Arabidopsis thaliana: one gene and its partners. The protein of the gene in region 4 purifies or fractionates together with the protein of the main gene of each other region. This does not show direct contact. Each region holds a gene or a part of one and is shown on either strand. Other genes may lie near its edges. The genes, in order: AT1G33600, AT1G33670, AT1G30580 and ECHIA.

Region 1 (6,255 bases), on a different chromosome or scaffold from region 4:
TTCCAAGTATATTTTGGTATTTTGTATATGTTTGGTTATTCGATCTAAAAATAACTAATATTTTGGATATATAATTGGATATTTTTGAGTATCCAAAATATTTTGGTTTGGTTCGGGTTTGATTATAATCTTTTTCGGTTCTAGAATTTTGGACCTATTTGAATATTTTACAATTGGTCTGAGTTCAGTTTGGTTCTTTTTTCTTCGGTTCCAGTTCAATTCTTTCGGTTCACTTATTATGTCCAGACTTAATCCAGACGATGGACTGACTTGACTAATTATATCCGATAAAATCAGACGGGATTTTTGGATCGAGGGACCGGTTCAAGAAATTCTGGTCACGCGGGATCAGAAAATCCAGGTAAGTAAATTTAATTCTTATACTCATTAATTTGACTAACTGTTATGTGTATTTTGTAAAGTTTGGGTATTTAAAAAAAAGTAGAAAATTTGGATAATTTCTGTTAATTTTGTAAAAGTTAAATACATAAACGGAAATACGAGTATCTTTTCCGAAGTCCTCGCCGTTCACTTTAGTAGTAACATTTCGCGTATATGGAAAACAATGTCGGAGGGTTGAAATACTACTTTCACTAATACAATAATACGTATTGATTATCGTTGTTACATGTAGTGGAGCTTCTTGATGTCTTAAGTTAATGGTGTGTTTTTGTTGATTGAGAGAAGCATTCGTGGTAGCTATTAATAGAAGGAAAGTCATCGACTCTAGCGCTGACGATTTTGACCAAGTCATATGCATGTGGTGGCATTACGTGGTGGTATAATCCGTGATCGTTGTTGAGTTTAGCATCTCTGGATCCCTTGAAAGAGACAGTGTCTTTCATCAGATTATTATATAAATGGTTTAACATATCTTCTTTTTCTAGAATTTTGTTGTTACATTGTATTAAAACTCATAAGTCATATAGTTTTTTTCCACTGTCTTATTAGTATTTCTTTCTATCAAATTTAAATAAAATTTTATTTTTATTATGGAATTTAGTTAGGAAAAATAACCATTTTGATTTTTCTCTAACATCTATATATACATTTTTGCAGCCATTTTGTGAAATAAATCCTGGAGTTCGAACTTATTTACAATACCTGCCATTGCCTTTTAATTATTGGTTTTCTTTTGGCAATAAATTGATTAACAAACAAAAAATATTCCAAATATATTATAATCCCATATATCACGCAAATTTCTCCAAAATTTAAACTAGATTTCGGAAACTATTTAAAACAAAAAATATTTGACAAACCAAAATACAATTGCAATCCCTTAAAATGAGCAAAACGCACCTAAATACATTTCCTATCAGTTCACTAAATCTTATTTCTCCAATATTTGAACTAGATTTCGACAACCATTTAAAAAAAAAATTTGTTTGACAAACTAAAATATAATTGCAATCCCGTAAAATATTTATTTAAATTAGCGGTGTATCGCAGATTTTTTTAACGGGACGGGTTTGGTGGAACGAGTTTGGAAGGATATTACTTAATAACAATTGTAAACTATAAAATGTAAATATTTTATAGATAAATATAATTTGCAGACTCTTATATATACTAATTTTAAAAACAAATTGTCTCCGCGGTGTACCGCGGGTTATAATCTAGTTATGTACGTTATTTTCGTCTTACTTTTTTCAACACGTTATTTTAATCTGTCCAACAAAATGTTCGTTATTGACCTTAAATTAGAAGTGAAAGATTTGACTGTTTAGATTTAGAACGATCTAAGTGCAATGATCTAGACAGTGAAAATAAGTTGGCCTCAAGATGGTCAGGTAAACATTATGCTTTATTTTCTTAGCATAATCTAACATTAGTAGCTTTATCTATTTGCCTATTGTAAGAACTAAGAAAGTGAAAATTTAGATTGTTCTCGAAAATCGATTTGTTCAGTTTTCAGTTTATGGTAGTGACATTTAAGATGCATGCTACCTCTCTTATGAATGCCGTAGCGTTCATCGAGATCCATTTGTTTTTATAGCTTTGAATAATAAGGCAAATCTCAGTGTGTCTACAGTTTTAATATTTCATATTATTACACAAATAACTCTAGTTTTCTTGTCTACAAAGTCACCAGTTTCATGATTCTAATGGAACATTTATTCCCAAGATCTTCATTACTTCTTGGATGTAGGGTAGGTACCGAGAGTGAATGTATCAAACTATTGGTTTATATGTGATATTATTTTGTCTGTCTAGATTTTAGATATTTAGCTCACCAATGATTAGACTGCCCACAAAGTAATCAAATTAATGTTGGAAATTGAGAATAACCGATCAATAATTTGTTAAAACATCAACATGATTTATATTTACATGGCTATGTACTGTATTATCAAATTTCTTAAATATTATAAGGTTTTTTTTAAACAAAAAAATCACAAATTATGGTAAGTGGTCATAATATTATTTTTTCTAAACATGTTTTACTTTTTCTTTTAACTGACAAAAGTTCATTATTCTGTAACTTCTGTTAATGTTCTGTTAGTTAGTGTTCTGTTCTGTTATCTTTTAGGGCTGTACAAACAAAAAATGTTAATTTGGAGATCTAGAGTGTTAGTTTAATTAATTTGGAGGTTTATAATGCTAGTGAAAATATCTTGAGGTTTAAAGTGCTGCTCAGTGTTAGGTTTAAAATGTGATTTTCCCCTTAAATATTTTGTTATTTTCTATTCCAGTAAAAAAAATAAAAATCATGTCCATGTATGGCGTAGCCGAGTAGGCTAATTTTGTTATTACAAATCTTATTCAGAGCTATGTGTTACAGTACTCAACTACAAAATTGTACCTTTTTGCCGCTAAATTTTACAAGGAGAAAGCGGAGAGCCGCAGAGACAGTCATTACCGACAAACGCGCTGGCCGGGAATTTAGTCACTGGAAGCTTTCCACAAAGATGGTTATGACTCAAGTTCAATTTTTGCAGTTTAGCCACGGTCATTGGTACCTTCCCAAATATCAAATTCCTTGATAGATCGAGGCTTTCTAGTCTCTCACTTAAATTCAGCTTCCCCATGTCGAATCGAAGTTTGTTCCCTGACGCTTGAAACTCATATAGGTTATGCGCTAGGTTGAAGAACCATGTTAGACTCCCTGAGATCTCGTTTTCTGACAGATCGATGTAAAAGTAAATATTGGGTCTCACTGGCTTCCAATTGTCTAAGCTCATATTGATCCCGCATTTTACCAGCTTCAACGAGTACATGGACGGCGACGAGGTCACCCATTTCGGTATCGTTTTGAGGTGAAATTGGTTGTATGAAAGATCTAGAGTGGCAAGGCCATCAACGTTCTTCATGGCAGGGAGTGGACCAGTTAGAAAATTGTGGGAGAGATTGAGATGGAAAAGTTTAGGCATATTGGCTAAACTCTTCGGAACAACCCCAGAGAACCTATTTCTAGAAAGATCCAATGAGTCTAGTACCTTGAAGTTTGATAAAAAGGTCGGGATTGTCCCAGAGAGATTATTCTGGCTTAGATCGAGGTAATTGAGAATTGGTTTGAGTGATGCAATGGACGGAGGAAGATTTCCAGAGAATTTGTTGCGGGAGAGGGTTAGAGATTGGAGCTTCTGCATGGATTTGAAAATATCCGGTATGGTTTCAGAGAGACGATTGTTGCCAAAGTTGAGTGACAACAAGATCTTGAGATTAGCAAGACCTAAAGGTATAGTTCCGGTTAAGAGATTATCTCCAAGATTGAGCAGATATAACCGGGTTAAATTGGAAATGGAACTCGGGATCGGACCAGTAAACAGGTTTCCGTCGAGACTTAGTTCTCCTAACTCGCTTAGCGCACCAATGTTAGCTGGAAGAGGACCGGAGAGACGGCTATTCGTGAAGTAGACTTGTTTTACATTTGGTAATTGGAAAAGGAATTGAGGAAAAGAACCAGTGATGTTTCGAAGATTGGTGAAGTAAATACCAACAAGGTGTTGGAGTTTGGCCAATGACGGCGAGATAGTGCCAGAAAGAAAGCTTCCAGTAACATCAGATTGTCCGTTGATAGTGAGTCCGGTGACGCGGTTGGTGAGACAACCGACACCCTTCCATGAACAGCAGTCAGTACCTTTCTTCCAAGAGCTGAGAATACCCGTAGGATCTTGAGTTATACCCGATTTAAAAGCTAAAAGACCCGCCTCGTCATCAGGATGACACGTGGCAGCTTCAATGGGACTTAAACACCGGAGAAAGATAACGAATGCAAAGATGAAGAGAGGGAAGCAACAAGAGTTCATGGTTGAGTTGTGTTGATTGAAAGACACAATTGGTCGCTATTAATAGAAGGAAAACGTTGAATCAAGAGCTGCCGATTTTGACCAATTCATGTTCATGTGGTGGCAATAAGTTGTGGTAATATCCGTAATCGTTGTCGAATTTATTATCTCTCAACCCCTCGAAAGAGACAGTTTCTTTCATCAGATTTTTATAATATTTTGATGATTATAGATAAAGGATTTATGTATCTTATTTTTCTAGAACTTTGTTGTCAAATTACAATTGTTTTCTATCATGTTTAAATAATATTTTGGGCTATTATGAAACTTAGTTTGGAAAGAAATTTCATTTATGTTTTCTCAAAATGTACGTTATTTTTGAAAAAAAAAAAATATTTATTAACATGTTATTTTTGTCTAACAATATGTACATTATTGACCACAAAATAAAAGTCAAATATATCTAAGTACAATGATCCAGATTGTGGACTAAGTTGGCCTCGAGATGGGCCGATAGATTCATGCCTTAATTTTCTTAGCGTAATCCAACATTAACATAAGTAGCTTTATCTATTTGTTTATCGTAAGAAATTATAGTGGAATCTTAGCTTGTTTTGGAAGAACCAATTACTCAATTTTCGTTTATGGTGGTGAAGTTTTAAGATGCTGCATGCATTAGTCTTGTTTTGGAAGAACCAATTACTCAAACTATCTTTTTTTGTATAGTTTTTGAATAATTTTTCTAGGTTGGTTTACTATGTCTTTGTCTCATTGAATATGGATGCATTAGTCTAATCGAACTTTAGTGTTTTAGACAAAAAAAAAAACAATACTAAGTTGAAACCTACTTCAGAGATGGTCTAATTCCTCAATGCAGACGCTATATGTCCTGTGGATGACCTTGTGTTATGTGTATGTAAAGAGAAAAAAGAGGTTTGATACTAGTATATATCGATTACTTGGTTTGTTGTTTGGTATGTGTTATTTGTGATCAAATAAATTTTGTAGTGATGAAGTTATATGCATCTATCTAGTAAGGACTCCTCTTGTTTTCATCACTAGGTTTTTGTTAACCAATTATAGAACACTGAAGAATAATAAATTACGCATAGTTCTAAATAAGATATCACTATAACTTTCTTTCTTTTTTTGTATAGAGCGAGTTAAATTCCAGTAAACATAGATTATTTACTGCATCATTTGTTGCGACTATTCTGAATTGAGAACAGATTAGCCAAGAGTTGCATACTACATAATCAGTTTAATATATAAGCAAAAGTTACATAAATTGGAGCATGTTGTATCAGAATACTACTCTGTTTTTCCTTCTATTTTTTAAAATCATTTTTCTATCATGTTAAAGTAATATTTTAGCTGCTATATAAAAAATGCATAATAGTTGAGAACTTAAATACTACTTTGAGTACTTTCACTAATACATATTGTTAGAATGAAGCTTCTTCATAACATAAAACTACTTTATTTGTTGTAATCTTTTTAATACAAATTTTATTTGGAGCTAAACTTTATTGGTCACGGTAAATATCCAACTACCAGTTGTAGCTTTCTTGCCGCTTAAGCTTTACAAGGAGAAAGAGGAGAGCCGCAAAGACAGTCATTACCCACAAACGCACTGGCCGGGAACTTTGTTACTGGAAGCTTTCCACAAAGATGGTTGTGACTCACGTTCAATGTCTTTAGTCCAGCCACCATTGCCGGCACCTTCCCAAATACCAAGTTCCTTGATATATCTAAAGTTGTCAGCGTCTTTGCAAACGTTAGCTTCCCCATATCGAATCGTAGTTTGTTACCCGCTGCCTTGAACTCCACTAGATACTCTGTTTGGTTCAAGAACCTTGCTGGACTCCCTGTGATCTCGTTTTCCGACAGATCGATGAAATCATAGTAGAATGTTTGCGCTGGCTTCCAATCGTCTAAGCTCATCTTGATCCCGCATTTTGCTAGCTTCAACGAGAAGATGATCGGCGACGAAGTCACCCATTTCGGGATCGTATTCAAGTGA
Region 2 (3,636 bases), on a different chromosome or scaffold from region 4:
AGTGGTGGTGACGACTTGGGAGCAGTGGAATGGGAATATAGCTGATTAAAGGGTTTGTGGGCTTTTTAATGGGCCTATCGGACCTTACTATTATTCAACTTTTCATTGGCAAAAAAGGTAAAAGAGAAGTATTTAATTTAGCCCATGCACAATTAAATACAAGATCTGATCCGTTTACATTTCAAGTGTTCGACCAAATTTATAAGAACACTCAAGCATAACATATGCATCATTAATACAAGCCAACGTTACATAAATCGGAACATTTGTATTAGAATACTACTACTACTCATTAAATTTAATCATTTCGTATCATGTTGAGGTAATCATTGTCCGGCTCAGTGGTTCTATTGACTAAATATGAATTTCTTCGCTTCATGTTTCTCAGAGAGACTGTTTGGTGACCTTTCAAATGCCTTCAGATCCTCAATTTTGTACCAACATAACGACTGCATGGAAATAGTGCATAAGGGTTGAAATCATACTTTCACTAACATTCACTATAGTTGTAATGGAGCTTATTGGCATTGGGATCTTTAAATCACTTTATTATAGTCACACAAATTTTATTTGGAGCTACGTGTCATAATAAATCCAAATACAAAACTGTGCTTTTCTTGTCCCTAAGCTTTACAAGGAGAAAGTGGAAAGCCGCAAAGACACTTGTTATCGACAAAAGCACTAGCCGGGAACTTTGTCGATGGAAGCTTTCCGCAAAGATGGTTTTGACTCAAGTTTAGTGTCTGCAGTCTGGTCACCGTCACCGGTACCTTCCCAAATACCAAGTTCCTTGACAAATCCAGGGTTTTCAAGAAGATTCCAAACTTTAGCTTCCCCAAGTCGAACTGGAGTTTGTTCCCCGGTGCATGGAACTCCACCATAAAATCCATCTGGTTAAAAAACCTTATTGGACTCCCTGAGATCTCGTTTTCCGAAAAATCAATGTGATGGTAGAAAGAGGTGTCTGCTGGCATCCAATGGTCTAAGCTCATTTTGATCCCACATTTTGCAAGCTTCAATGAGTAGATGAACTTCGACAAGGTCACCCATTCGGGGATTGTTTCAAGGTGAAATCGGTTGTACGAAAGATGTAGATATTCGATGCCTAATGAGTTCAAGACAGGGAATGGACCGGTAAGCAGATTGTGGGAGAGATCAAGAAAGATAATGTTGGTCAGATTGGCAAAACTCATCGGCACGACCCCTGTGTACCCATTCCTAGAGAGATTTAATGCGGAGAGAAGCTCGAATCTCGATAAATAGTCCGGGATAGTCCCCGATAGCTTGTTATGGCCCACCTCAAGGGTAGAAAGAGTCGGTGCAAGAGATGCAATCGATGAAGGAAGGTTTCCAGAGAATCTGTTGCTGGAGAGATCAAGAAATCGAAGTTGCCGCATGGATTTGAATATGTCTGGGAAGATGCCAGAAAGGCGGTTACCGTTGAGCTTGAGTTGGAGTAAGCTAGTTAACTTAGACATCGAACTTGGGATCGAACCGCTGAACCGGTTTCCCGCCACACTCAAAATTTCCAAATTACTTAGTGCACCGATGTTGGCAGGAAGGGGACCAGAGAGACGGTTATTCTCTAAGTAAACAGTCCTTAGCTTTGGTAATTTGAAGAGGAAGTGGGGAAAAGATCCAGTGATCTTTCGAAGATTGGTGAGGCGAATCTCGTTGAGGTGATGGAGTTTGGCGAGCAACGGTGAGATAGTGCCGGAGAGAAAGGTTTCACCAACATCCGTATTTCCGTCTAATGCCATCATGGTGACGCGGTCGCCATGAATCGTAGGGAGGCAAAAGATACCGTACCAGGAGCAGCAGTCAATATCTTTCTGCCATGAGCTGAGAATACCCGAAGGATCTTGGGTTATACCCGATTTGAAAGCTAAAAGACCCGCTTTGTCATCAGGATGACATGTGGCAGCTCCCGTGGAACTTAAACACCGGAGAAAGATAACAAAGAGGAAGAGAGGGAAGGAACAAGAGTTCATGGTGTTTTGTTGAATGAGAGAAGTGACTGAAGTGTCGTCGACTCGAGGTCTGATTTCATTTCTATTCATTTTCAAACGTGTTTTTTCTTGCATAGTTAGTGGTGTCCGTAATTACAGCATGACAATTATCATTTTATATTCCCATGACAGGCTTAATCAACTCTCTGTCGGTAAAAGAGATACTCCATGATATAGACCTTAATTAACAAAATAAAGAGATCTGATATCAATGTGAATCTCGATCTTAAGACTTGACCACATGTCATTGGAATGGTAAGCGTGATATTGGTAATCCCTCTTGTATATCTTATTGACCTGTGATTTTTTAAGTATTAAATTAAGCTGCGAGATTTTGTTCAATATATTTTGATCTTATAATAGTATAATGCCTGTTCCGTAGAATACAAGCAACACGATTTTGAGGCATGGTTTGTTATCAGAGTATTGGAGAGGTTGTTTTCATATTGTTTAAGTGTGAGTTTAGAGATTTAAGACGTTGGTTTGTTTAAGAGATAGTCGCAGAATCTCTATAATGGTCTGTCTAATCGATTTACTTCTTATGATTCATTTCCTCAACCAATTTTCTTATGCGCTTCTTGTCTTTCAGGTTACTCCATTGGAGCTTTTTGAATCTTAGTTTGAGAGAGAGAAAGGATTGATCATTATATTACTGATTAACCTTAGTTTTCGACAGGAAATGCTCCTCCCGCCATAGGTTCATTTTTGGTTTATATTTTTGTTCAAATTTATTTGTTGGCTTATGAACATTAAGCTTTTGGATTCATTGTACTTTAAGAAATATTCTAGATCCAAAAAATGAATCATCTAATTGTTATTGTGTTCGTTATTGCTTTGTGTTCTCGTTAGAATGAAGGTAAGGGTTGTAATACTTAAGAATTTCTTAATGAACTCACTCGTGGTAGTATTCTCAAATTAAGTAAAGTGCACATCCAACCATAAGTAATATGTAATTTGAATTTTTGTTTTAAGTTTTAACGGACTAAAATTTTCAAATTAGGGGGAAAATTATAATTCAAATCCAAATCCAAATGGGTCTAACGGAATAAAACGGGGTATTTTAGTATTTTCGTATCAACTAGCTTTAGAACACTCACTACAAATATAATTTTCTGGTTCCATTCATTTCATCACCGACTCAAAAAATACTTCGTCTCTACAATTCAAATTATCAAATTCTTCGGAATCAACTTGTTTCGGCTCCAGCCGGTGATGAATCTGGGGATGAGAAACGAAATTGGGGAGGAAATCCTTGTCACCGCCGTCAAGAGGAGCGTGTGATTGACTCGGTTTAAACCCTCCGATATTACGCAAACAATCAGGTATATAATAAACCCAATTCTGATCGATTTCAAGTTTGTTTTTGATTCATCGGTTGTTTCGTTTACTTCATAATTCTCTTCCGATTATTCAGAACATAATTGTGGAATTGAATCTTGATTACAAATCCTTGTGATTAAGCAAAATAAGGTTAGGAATCACAAACCCCTTTCTTCGGGTTTCTTTGTTGATCCATTTATAGTAATCAATCTCTTAGCAATTTAGTAGAATCAGTGAATTTCGTAGTAGTGTGATGATTCTGATGATGATGATCTTCATTTTGTGTTCGTTTAGTACTAGTTTCAAT
Region 3 (6,439 bases), on a different chromosome or scaffold from region 4:
AAGCTGGCAAAAACAGAGAAACCTCGAGTCCATCATCGACTCAAATCTGAGGGGAAACTACAGTCCTGAATCGTTGGAGAAGTATGGGGAGATAGCAGAGAAGTGCTTAGCGGATGAAGGGAAGAACAGGCCAATGATGGGAGAAGTGTTATGGAGCTTGGAGTATGTTTTGCAGATTCATGAAGCTTGGCTTCGCAAACAGAATGGAGAAAACTCGTTTTCGAGCAGCCAAGCGGTAGAAGAAGCACCAGAGAGCTTTACTCTTCCAGCTTGTTCCAATCAAGATTCCTCAGAAACTGAGCAGAGCCAAACAGGATCTGCTCTTCACAATTCGGCTTAGAGGAAGCAATTGGATTGGCCAGTCCCAAAATAATTCTTTTGTTCTTTTGTTATAATTGATTGTGATCTATCCAGAAGCTCTTTTGTAATAGAGCTTGTAATATACACTGCAAATATAATTTCCTTAAGGTATTCGTTTAATCATTCTTTCCATTTGTTTCCTTCGCTAATAAGTGCACCAGAAGTTGTTTGCTGGGTTTCTTCAACTCATTCTCACGCACAATTACTCAAGGTTCTTTCCAAATAGTAGAGAAAAACTTATTGAAAGAGTTCTAAACGATACAGCAGGCTTAATGCTCTGTCTAAAGGCAAAGACATGTCTTAGCTAACTGCAAAATGTAAAGAGTTACAAATACTTGTTTGGTAAAGCCACTCAAAAACGGAAAATACAGCTTGGTTCCTTTCTCGGAAATGGATAGAGCTTCAAGATCCAGAGAGGACACCGCGGATAGGTGGACAGACGGATGGATCTCATTTCTTCCCACCACCGGAAACATTGAACTTGAAGAAAATGATATCTCCATCCTGAACAACATATGTTTTACCCTCCTGTCTGTATTTTCCTGCGGCCTGCATTAGTTGAAGGGATTATAAATTAGACCAAGTGTCATCGCCATGAACATTATAAATATAATCATGCCTCTTCAACGAGGATATCTTGCACAGTGGAGAGCTTCCTTAACATTTTCATGTCTGTTTTTAGAGGCTACTTACTCCACCGAGACCTTAAGAGATTGTAGAAGGAAAAGAAGTTATAGACAAATACCTTGACTGCAGGTTCATTGCCAAGTTCCTTGAGATCCTCGAATTTCATGACCTGTGACATCAACAACAACATTGGAATAAATCACATTGAATTTCAAAACAGAAAAATATTTGATTAGATATGGTTTGCATTAGGATTCTGCTTTGATATCTACAGGCCTGCATCGATACTAGGAAATCAACACCAAGATGAATATAAGAATATGCAAGCAAGCATTTGTTTTTGTCAGTGAAAACATAAGAAAGATTATATAAACTCTATAACAGAACAAATCATCAAAATCTGGAGGGGAAAGGCTTTACGCATGTAAATTTTAGGTAGGAATAAACTAGTGAATTGACCAAGATTCAAGAGAAATGAGAAAATGGTACCTCAGCACAAATAAATCCTCTCTCAAAATCAGTATGAATGGCCCCTGCAGCTTGAGGAGCCTTTGACTGCCGTCTTATTTGCCAGCACTTCACCTGCAAATCAAAGTATCATTGATGGATGTATTTTATAAACCATCAAATTCCAGTAACAATGCACTACTTGACACATAACACTGATCATGCACTACCAAATAGCTCATTACAGAACAATTATGCTTAGAAGAATTTCACAGAGAACTAGAGACTAAAGCGTGTAGTGAAGCCAAGTAAAGTGGGACTGTTAATACCTCATCAGGCCCTGCTGTAAAGAAGTATATGAGGTTAATTGCTGAAAATCCAGTTTTGATGATCCTCGGAAGAGCACTGTCAAAGCAGCAATGGCCATAAGATTCAATTTAACAGATTCATAAAGAAAAATCATCTTCAGGAGCAACTATTCATTCGCAAGGTGCTGTTCTTTTATTCCTAACCTTTGCAGTTTGTTCTCCTCACAATACTTTGCTGCTTCATCTGGGGCCATATCAGCGAGACTCCTTTCAAACACACCACTGAAAGGAATCATAGTATCACCACCGTGTTCTTGAACCCTACATAATGATGAAACAGATATTTTTAGTTTAGGAGAAGTATAATAAGGTAAGTAAATGTGTAAGCACGTAGCCATATTAGAAACTTTTGCAACAACCAAGGGGCAAAATGTTTTACTTATTATTCAACATAGTTTGTGAAAGGATATATATTAGTACCAGGCATGAATCTTTGGCAAGAACTTGTTTTTCTTCCTCTGATAGTCTCTCTCATTCAGGTTAATCTGTAATTTAAATTTCAGAGTAACCAGTGATCACAAAAAGTCCAACCAAGATGCCTTAATAGTTCTTACACTGAGATGAAACACATAGTTGAAACAAACATGAAAGCATAGAGATCAGAAATAGCTAAGGAACACACTATGGTTAAATTTGGGGGCAAATAGTGTCACAAAAATAGACAGTATGACCTACATTTTGCAAACTGACCCGAAAAAAATTGAGGGAACAAAATTGTCGACTATAGATATGAAAGAAGCAAATGCATTTATCTTGATAGAAACAATGGTAACAGAAAGAGATGAACATTCAAGACTACTCACCAAGTAAACAACGGGCTTTGCAGAAAGCAATTGGAAAGTGTTCAAAATCTCGATATCAGCTGTTTTCCAGTCCCCAAAACGGACATCCTTACCATCTTCTAGCCAAGCTTTTACCTAAACCAGAGAGGTACAGTCATTTTTTCGGCCAATTAATAATTAATGAGCAATAACATTTGCAGAACAAGACTGCATGGTTGTCAAATTATAGCATACCTTTTGCAAGAGCTCAAGTTCTATTTTCAGCTGCTTGTCATTGCTCCTCTTCATGCTCTTCTCGACATCATCAATCTTCTTTCCAACAAATTCAATATCCTAAAGTTGCACCAAAGAATTCAGTTTGAAACCAAAACAACAATGGATGAAATGAAGATCCAACTAATACAAAAAACAGACTACTGTATTAATATACACAGAAAGGATTTCACGAGTTTGGAGATATAGCAGTCAAATATCTGTTTAGAGATTTGATTCACCTTTAGCCGCAACTCTTCAGTAATGGTCTCCAAATCTCTAACAGGATCCACGATATCGTCGACATGGATAATATCAGCATCTTCAAAAGCACCTGCATATGTTCAATCGAAAAGTCACTAACCACTATATAACTGGCAAGATATCTTACTATCAGCAACTATTAAAGAAACATCCCCGTTGTTCAAGAACAGATATGCTTGGAGAGGAAAACATAAACTAACTATCGCAATGGCCCTATAGGTATCAAATGGGAAGAAAAATATATAAAGGTTTTTAACCTGTCTCTCATTGAAAAGCCTGCTCAAGTAGAAATTCAAGACAGCACAAGTAGCAGTACAGTCTAAATTATTCATCAAATCACGCATCACACTAAAACAAAGCTGGCACTAGGAGAAAAAGCGAGAGGGAAAAACCATACGTAAAACATGGAAAATTCCATCAACTGCACGAATATGGGACAAGAAGTTGTTTCCAAGACCCTGTCCTTCATGAGCTCCTCTAACAAGCCCAGCAATGTCATGAATTTCCAAGAAAGCTGGAATCTGAGGCATCAAAACAGACAGAAGTCAGCCCATTCATAAAGTAATTCAGATAGTAGTAATCTCTTCCTTAACAGCAAGTCATGAAATAAAGTTACAAACTTACCTCACTCTTAGGCTTGTAAGTTTGGCAAAGCCAATCGAACCTCTCATCGGGGATATTCACACGTGCCTCATTAGGCTCAATGGTACAAAAGGGGAAATTCTCAGCTGGAATTGAAAGCTTTGTAAGAGTGTTGAAAAGAGTAGATTTTCCAACATTTGGTAACCCAACCTGCGATGCCACAAACAATTCCCATAGTGAATAACATCAATACTTCTCCATATCATCATATCAACCATGAACAATCAACCTTAATCACTGTATCAAAGAAGCAGTTTCTTAAATATGGATTAAACATCTAAAAGAGTACAGTGACAAACACAACGAAACAAACAATATCATCATGCATCACTGATGAGTTAATAGATCTCTCCCGGCAAAACTCAGAAGAAGAAAAAAAAAAAAAACTTTTATCGAGGAAAGTATTGCGATGAGCAAATCTACCATTCACCATTCGAAATTAATCAACTTGGATTCTAAAAGAGAGATGAAGAGAAAAATTACAATTCCGATCTTGAGGTGAGAAGAGAAACGGCCAAGAATAGGCCTCTCTACGGGACCTGCATCTTTAGCTTTGGCTTTCGGAGGCATCTTTCTCAAAGTCTCGAGCTTGAAAGTGAAGCGAAGCTCTAAGATATTCTAGGGTTTTTGCTGATTAACAAAGCCTAGCAGAAGAAGCTACAAGACGCCGACGCCGAGGTTAAAGAGAGATTGCTCAGCTGGTTTACGGACCGGTTTAAATCGGAGGGTCAATTCCCGGTTTACTTTTAACCATTTGCGGGACATTTACCAAAATACAAAGAGCTATTTTTAACCAATTTTGTGGACAAAGTAAACCCAATATTGAACACTAAACCGAGAAATCAATCATTCAGCATTTCAACTTAACCAAATTAAACCGAAACTCAAATTAGGTAATCATAAACCAACTGACTAAATTTTACTTCATAGATGTTCTTCAAAATTTTGCTACAAAACCACATGCGATCAGATAATACCACAGACTCGCACAAAACTCATGTCAACTTCTTTTTTTTAGAGTTTACGCACTAGCTAAGAGATTGTAATAAGAAACCTACATTGCAAAATTGCATTCCCTCTCTCTATGACTATTAGATTAAGAAGGATTCAGGAGGACTAGTGGATGGTCTGATTCTTGAAGGCATCTTCAAGAGCCTCTCTGTTTCTCGCATGAAAGAGTGTTTCGGAGTTGTAGACATCGTGTTCATCTCACTATCAAGTTCAACGTCATCGTCAGGTTCCTCCGCACTGTCTGCATCTCCATTCACTATGACCTCATCACAAAGCTCTTCGTCACCATCTTCTCCATAAGTCGTTTTCACCATTGACCAGAAGTTGAAGTTCGGGGAGATGTAGCTTCAAGAATTGACAAGAAAACACGTGTGAGAAAGAGAGTTCAAGCCTATCCAATGCAAATACTTTGATTCATCACTTGTTTTATCATATTAAAATAATTTTCAATGTCATTTCAAGACTGTAATTAAGATGTATGCAGTAGAATTTGTATCAAATATGCCCAGGTCGGGTAAATTCATCCAGTGAGTCAAGAACCTTGTGTAAGATTCTCACATTGATTTGTCCTTACTTTGGAAGAGAAAAAATAATCAAGAGTAAAGATAGCAAACCTGCTAGACATTTTCAACAAGCACGGGTCAAACGGGAAGAATGTGTCAAGCCTTTCAAAGCCACCAAAAGCACGAGAGAGCTCAGACTCGTGTAGGTCATCGAAAATGAAGGATTCTGAGACAATGAACAGACCACCAGCTTTGGCTTGTTTAAGGAACTCGGAAACTACAGATGGAAGACACACCTGTTCACACAAAATGAATGGTGCAAGCATAATGCATTTGATACTTGGAGTGAAGACTACTTAAAATAACAGTTGAGCTATGAGAAGAAAATGATTAGTGTAAGTCACCCACCAGTAGTGGGTTTAGTTTGTGAGATAAAATTGACTCCAATGATCTAAACTGCGATTGAAAGCGAGGAATCTCCACTATGGATCTCATTCGGAAGCATAGCACATACAAGATTGCCTACAGTCATAGAAAAGTAACAACTTTAAGCGATACATGACATAATAGCATATGATCCCAAACGCCAATAAGCTTCTGGTAAGGGTGTGAACATTAACAATGATTGATAACTAGAGACGTCAATGATTTCACAGAAGAGTTCTTAAGGAATCAAAAGCCATAAGATGGTCTTAAACTTGGACTATACCTGACATCCAGAATAGAACACTTGATGTGCTTCTGGCTTCACATCATCATTGCATGTTCCGCAATATTCCGCACACTCGTCCACCAATCTAGGATTTCAGCAAAAGAGAAACTATGTTACAACAAAGCGAGACTTAAATCAGATCAAACAATTACATTTTCCATTTTTTAGCAATACGTACCTTTTCAACATGCTAGCCACAAAAGAAGCAGGCAAAAACTTTCCACGAGACAAATAGCTAGCTAGATAAGCCACTGCACTCATCCTGTTAAGTATAAAGAGAAAACAAAAGAATACACAAGTGGTGATTAGAACAATATTAGCTTCATATCATGCAGAGAAATCTTTACCAAGAAGGACAAGATTAAACTCGCCTAGTAAGTCGACATGTGTTGCTGGAGAGATATATGTCCAACAGCTTACTGGCAAATCTCACACCACAATTTTCAGGATCTAGTGAGCATGCATAGAACA
Region 4 (4,173 bases):
CGTCGCCGCCTCTCCGCCGCCTGTGACTTTTGCCGGCGGTGTGAGAGGGCTTCCCCCCTTTTCTTTTTCGTTGTCTTGTCTATTAGTTTAGAAATAAGGTCGACTCTTTGCTCCTTTCTCCGGAGGCTAAGGTGAAGCTCAACGACGACGGTGTGACGATGCGGAGGCAGTAGGTAGAGGAGAGAGCTCTCGGCTCGATCCTTATCCAGGAGACTGGTGGGGTTCGGAGCTGCTCCGAGCAGCTGTTTCGATCCCTGTATCCCCCAGGAGAACCAAGCCGACGGATGAACAGAGGCAGAGTCAGAGTCTTCCAGGCGTGGGGATGGAGCTGTGGTCGCCGGTGGCCGAGATAATCCGGAGATCTAGTGAACCGTCTCAATGTCTGGTCCAGTCCGGCGATGGAGCGAGGCAACAAGGCATGTGCGGCGAGATCGTTCCGGCAATGCACCGTTTAGGTGAGGTCTTACTAATCCGGGCTCCAATGTGTTATCCTTAATCGATTAGTAGCTTACGGTTGATTGGTTAGCTCGGGAAAAGCTCTAGCCTTGCTGGTTTGCCTTGTATCATTGGTCGGGTCAGTCGGATATATGGTCCGCTTTTGGTTTAGGACCGGAACAACGAAAGCCGGGGATATTGAGTCTTTCTGATGATGCGTCTCCGGGTGGTAATGCTATTGGGACATGGATTACATTCTGATCAATAGGGACTAATAGTATGGATTTACTTTGTACTTCAGACTAGGTTTTGGTCTCTTCCGTTTTAGTAGTTGTTCTCGTGTCGCTTAGAGTCTGTGTAGGTGGTCAAAGAGATGATAATATTCTGATTTGTGGAGTATTATCTATCTCATTGTGGTTTAAAAATGCAATGGTTCCTCGATCAGGTAGCGCTGGATCCGATAGTGTTTCAGCGTGATACTAGATCAAACCATTGCATTTGGGTCCAATTTGATAGAGGAGAATGTTATGTACCTTCAATTGGATGTAATCATTTGATAAATGAAAGTTGATGTTGAGCAAAAAAAAAAAAAAAAAAAAAGAAAAAAAATACAATACTATATGTTTGTTTGTAACATGTTAATAGATAGTAGTATTAAATAGAGTAGTAAACAACAAAAGAAGCAAGAGGTGGATTTTAAATTAACAAAACAACTTGTTATCAAGATAAGACTATACACATTAATTGTTTCATGATGATAATAGTAATTAATAGTCAATAAAACGTGTTATTAAATAATAGAAGCTCCCATGAAACATGCACTATCGGTTACTTGTAGAAGTAATACAAACCGTTGACGTGGTAGACGATTGTAATTCGTTATCTTTGACCTAACGTATAATGGTGATTAAAACTAATGCTTGATAAATTAACGGATAGTGGTGTTAGCTGGTATCCTCCAAAGGAGGTTGAACCCAATGTCTTTAGTTTGAACTTTTGCTATGAAAGGTCTCAACTTTTCTGATAATAGAACAAACGGGTTAAAAAGTTGACATCGGCAAAGTAAATTACTGATCTTGGTCCGACCTTCTTTTAAAAGATTAAACAAATAAATATTTGCAATTGTGAACATATTAATGGTGAAACGAATTACTTCTATAAAAATAATTGCATGATGAATGAAGCATCTTCTCTCCTTTTCATGGGGCAATGTTTCAAGGAGTTTCAGATCAAGGTTTTGTACCAAGTGGATGTGTCTTTCACTAGTTGAGATCAGATCATTGACGTTTTTAACTTACTCTAACTATTTTTAGTAATTGTATAGAGCTCAAACGTTTTGTGGTGAACCTTATACTTTAACAGAAGATTGTTTTTTAAAACACATTAACGAGTCTGTGCACACAAAAAAAAAAATAAAAAAAAATTAACGAGTCTATTATGCAAATGGTGCATAAAAGTTTTTTAACAAAACCATTTATTAACAGATGAACAGAAATCAGACCGGTTCGATCCGGTTTACTCATGGTTTGTGTTTGTACTTTCTCCACTTGCCGTTTTCATGTTTGAGAAACAAAATACGCAGCGTCTAAAATAGAAGCAAAAAACGGGACGTTGTTTACTAACAACGACAAAACAATGGCACACTTACCCAAGTTCTTCGTCATCTCTTCCTGATTGACTCTATTTAAAAACCCGATCGGAAAATTCGAAATCCGTTCAATTGTAATCGGAATCGTCGAAAAATGGATCAAACAGTATCGGAAAATCTCATTCAGGTGAAGAAAGAATCAGGCGGGATCGCCGTCATCACAATCAACCGTCCGAAATCTCTCAATTCACTCACGAGAGCGATGATGGTTGATCTCGCCAAGGCATTCAAGGATATGGACTCCGACGAATCGGTCCAGGTCGTGATTTTCACCGGATCAGGTCGATCTTTCTGCTCTGGCGTTGATTTGACTGCGGCGGAGTCTGTTTTCAAAGGAGACGTGAAGGATCCGGAAACCGACCCGGTTGTGCAGATGGAGCGGTTACGTAAACCGATCATCGGAGCTATTAACGGTTTTGCCATCACCGCCGGGTTTGAACTCGCCTTGGCCTGTGATATTTTGGTCGCTTCTAGAGGAGCTAAGTTCATGGATACTCACGCCAGGTTGATTTCTTCTCTTACGACGTCGTTTGCATAGTTATCAATAGCACTGGTATCTAGCAATTAGGTCAAATATAGTTGCAGATTTTAGCTTTGGATCATAGAAAATCATGTTGTTTCAAGCTCTACTCAATTCAACATCTTAAAATTCAATCTCATTTGTTTATGCTCTCAAAATTTTGTTGCCTTGAGATGAATGTTTTTGATGATATGAATGTGAATCCTCTGTTTTGTGTTTGAAGGTTTGGGATATTTCCTTCATGGGGTTTGTCTCAGAAGCTGTCGAGGATCATCGGAGCAAACAAAGCTCGAGAAGTTTCTTTAACATCGATGCCACTGACAGCAGACGTGGCTGGGAAGTTAGGGTTTGTAAACCATGTGGTTGAAGAAGGAGAAGCGTTAAAGAAAGCTAGAGAAATCGCAGAGGCTATAATCAAGAATGAACAAGGCATGGTTCTGAGGATTAAATCCGTTATCAATGATGGACTTAAGCTTGATCTTGGGCATGCTCTCACACTAGAAAAGGTTAAACATTCTGCCATTTTTAACTTGTTGATCAATTTGTGATTGTGAGAAAGTCTAAAACTGTTGTTGAAATCGTAGGAGCGAGCTCACGCGTATTACAGTGGGATGACGAAGGAACAGTTTAGAAAGATGCAGGAGTTTATAGCCGGACGTGGATCCAAGAAACCTTCTTCTAAGTTGTAGACAGTTTCTCTATGGATCTTAAAATAATACTTACTACTTTGTACCATTTCTTAATTTACATTTTGATTAGTGTCTTACAATAAGAATATCTTTGTTTGTTTCAAATCAAGTATGTAGTCTAAGATACGTATCTCTCAGCTTTAGACATATGTTGGTAAAATTTATGGAATTGATAACTGTATCAGGATTATAAGTCCAAAGCTTTAGAAACAAACAATATTAAGTGAATAAAATGCATGCTTGTTCTAGCCTGCACAAGCATTGTCCATCTCTCTGTCTCAGACCACGACGTGCAGTATTAGGATATCTCCTCCTCTGACATTGTAATGAGCAAGTGACCTATTACTGTATAAGCAGCACGACCCCTCAGCTTATCTTTCAAATATTTGGGTGGATTTAATACTTGCGAATACGCAACAACAAACTCGTTGTAAAAAGAGAACCTGTAATCAGTTGCCTTCATAAACTCAAACTGAGGTTCCGTCATCACTCTTTCCATCAGAAACCCTCTAAAATCATCCCCATACCATGCCACAAACTGCGCTGTGACCTTAACGGTGTCAAGTTCCTCGAATGTCATCTCTTTAACAAGTCTAAACTGTAAAAGATTAGGCAGGACCAATCTTTGAGACTGAAGACTGAATTGAGACTGAGGAGGAGGATAGGGCTCAACTTTGGTGTAGCTTCACGGTGATACTTAGAAATGGATTCAGCAAGCTTGTGCTGGTAATATGCGTCGCGAGGATCTAATGAGTACTCATCAAGCTTTTGCTTGTACAATACGTTATAAGGATCTTCAGAGCTTTTCAGGAAGTTAAATCTTGCATCATCTGTATTAGAGTCCTTAACCATCATCTCAAACTCCGACCCGAATTGAGAAA

What was found.
Region 1: the proteins of ECHIA (region 4) and AT1G33600 fractionate together in Arabidopsis thaliana (co-fractionation; one large-scale study listed by BioGRID). This does not show direct contact.
Region 2: the proteins of ECHIA (region 4) and AT1G33670 fractionate together in Arabidopsis thaliana (co-fractionation; one large-scale study listed by BioGRID). This does not show direct contact.
Region 3: the proteins of ECHIA (region 4) and AT1G30580 fractionate together in Arabidopsis thaliana (co-fractionation; one large-scale study listed by BioGRID). This does not show direct contact.

Annotation. Positions count from the first base shown.
Region 1 is NC_003070.9:12,178,774-12,185,028, reverse strand, and holds AT1G33600 (Leucine-rich repeat (LRR) family protein), read right to left. Parts: upstream 4,254-6,255; coding exon 2,817-4,253; 3' UTR 2,807-2,816; exon of another isoform or gene 2,429-2,806; intron 830-2,428; exon of another isoform or gene 822-829; 3' UTR 501-821; downstream 1-500. Other genes in the region: AT1G33590 (Leucine-rich repeat (LRR) family protein), read right to left, coding at 5,808-6,255.
Region 2 is NC_003070.9:12,200,318-12,203,953, reverse strand, and holds AT1G33670 (Leucine-rich repeat (LRR) family protein), read right to left. Parts: upstream 1,992-3,636; coding exon 624-1,991; 3' UTR 546-623; downstream 1-545.
Region 3 is NC_003070.9:10,831,143-10,837,581, forward strand, and holds AT1G30580 (GTP binding protein), read right to left. Parts: upstream 4,494-6,439; 5' UTR 4,313-4,493; coding exon 4,226-4,312; intron 3,893-4,225; coding exon 3,725-3,892; intron 3,622-3,724; coding exon 3,498-3,621; intron 3,171-3,497; coding exon 3,079-3,170; intron 2,918-3,078; coding exon 2,819-2,917; intron 2,720-2,818; coding exon 2,606-2,719; intron 2,288-2,605; coding exon 2,223-2,287; intron 2,064-2,222; coding exon 1,947-2,063; intron 1,840-1,946; coding exon 1,764-1,839; intron 1,570-1,763; coding exon 1,477-1,569; intron 1,157-1,476; coding exon 1,106-1,156; intron 910-1,105; coding exon 811-909; 3' UTR 531-810; downstream 1-530. Other genes in the region: HERK2 (hercules receptor kinase 2), read left to right, coding at 1-340; AT1G30590 (RNA polymerase I specific transcription initiation factor RRN3 protein), read right to left, coding at 4,834-5,098, 5,368-5,552, 5,665-5,778, 5,966-6,053, 6,147-6,230, 6,340-6,439. UniProt on the Arabidopsis thaliana protein: Hydrolyzes ATP, and can also hydrolyze GTP with lower efficiency. Has lower affinity for GTP. Exhibits GTPase activity.
Region 4 is NC_003075.7:9,175,983-9,180,155, reverse strand, and holds ECHIA (enoyl-CoA hydratase/isomerase A), read left to right. Parts: upstream 1-2,016; 5' UTR 2,017-2,177; coding exon 2,178-2,587; intron 2,588-2,826; coding exon 2,827-3,109; intron 3,110-3,187; coding exon 3,188-3,292; 3' UTR 3,293-3,590; downstream 3,591-4,173. Other genes in the region: AT4G16215 (uncharacterized protein), read left to right, coding at 323-460, 580-664, 764-912; AT4G16200 (SWAP (Suppressor-of-White-APricot)/surp domain-containing protein), read right to left, coding at 3,591-3,915, 3,966-4,173. UniProt on the Arabidopsis thaliana protein: Straight-chain enoyl-CoA thioesters from C4 up to at least C16 are processed, although with decreasing catalytic rate.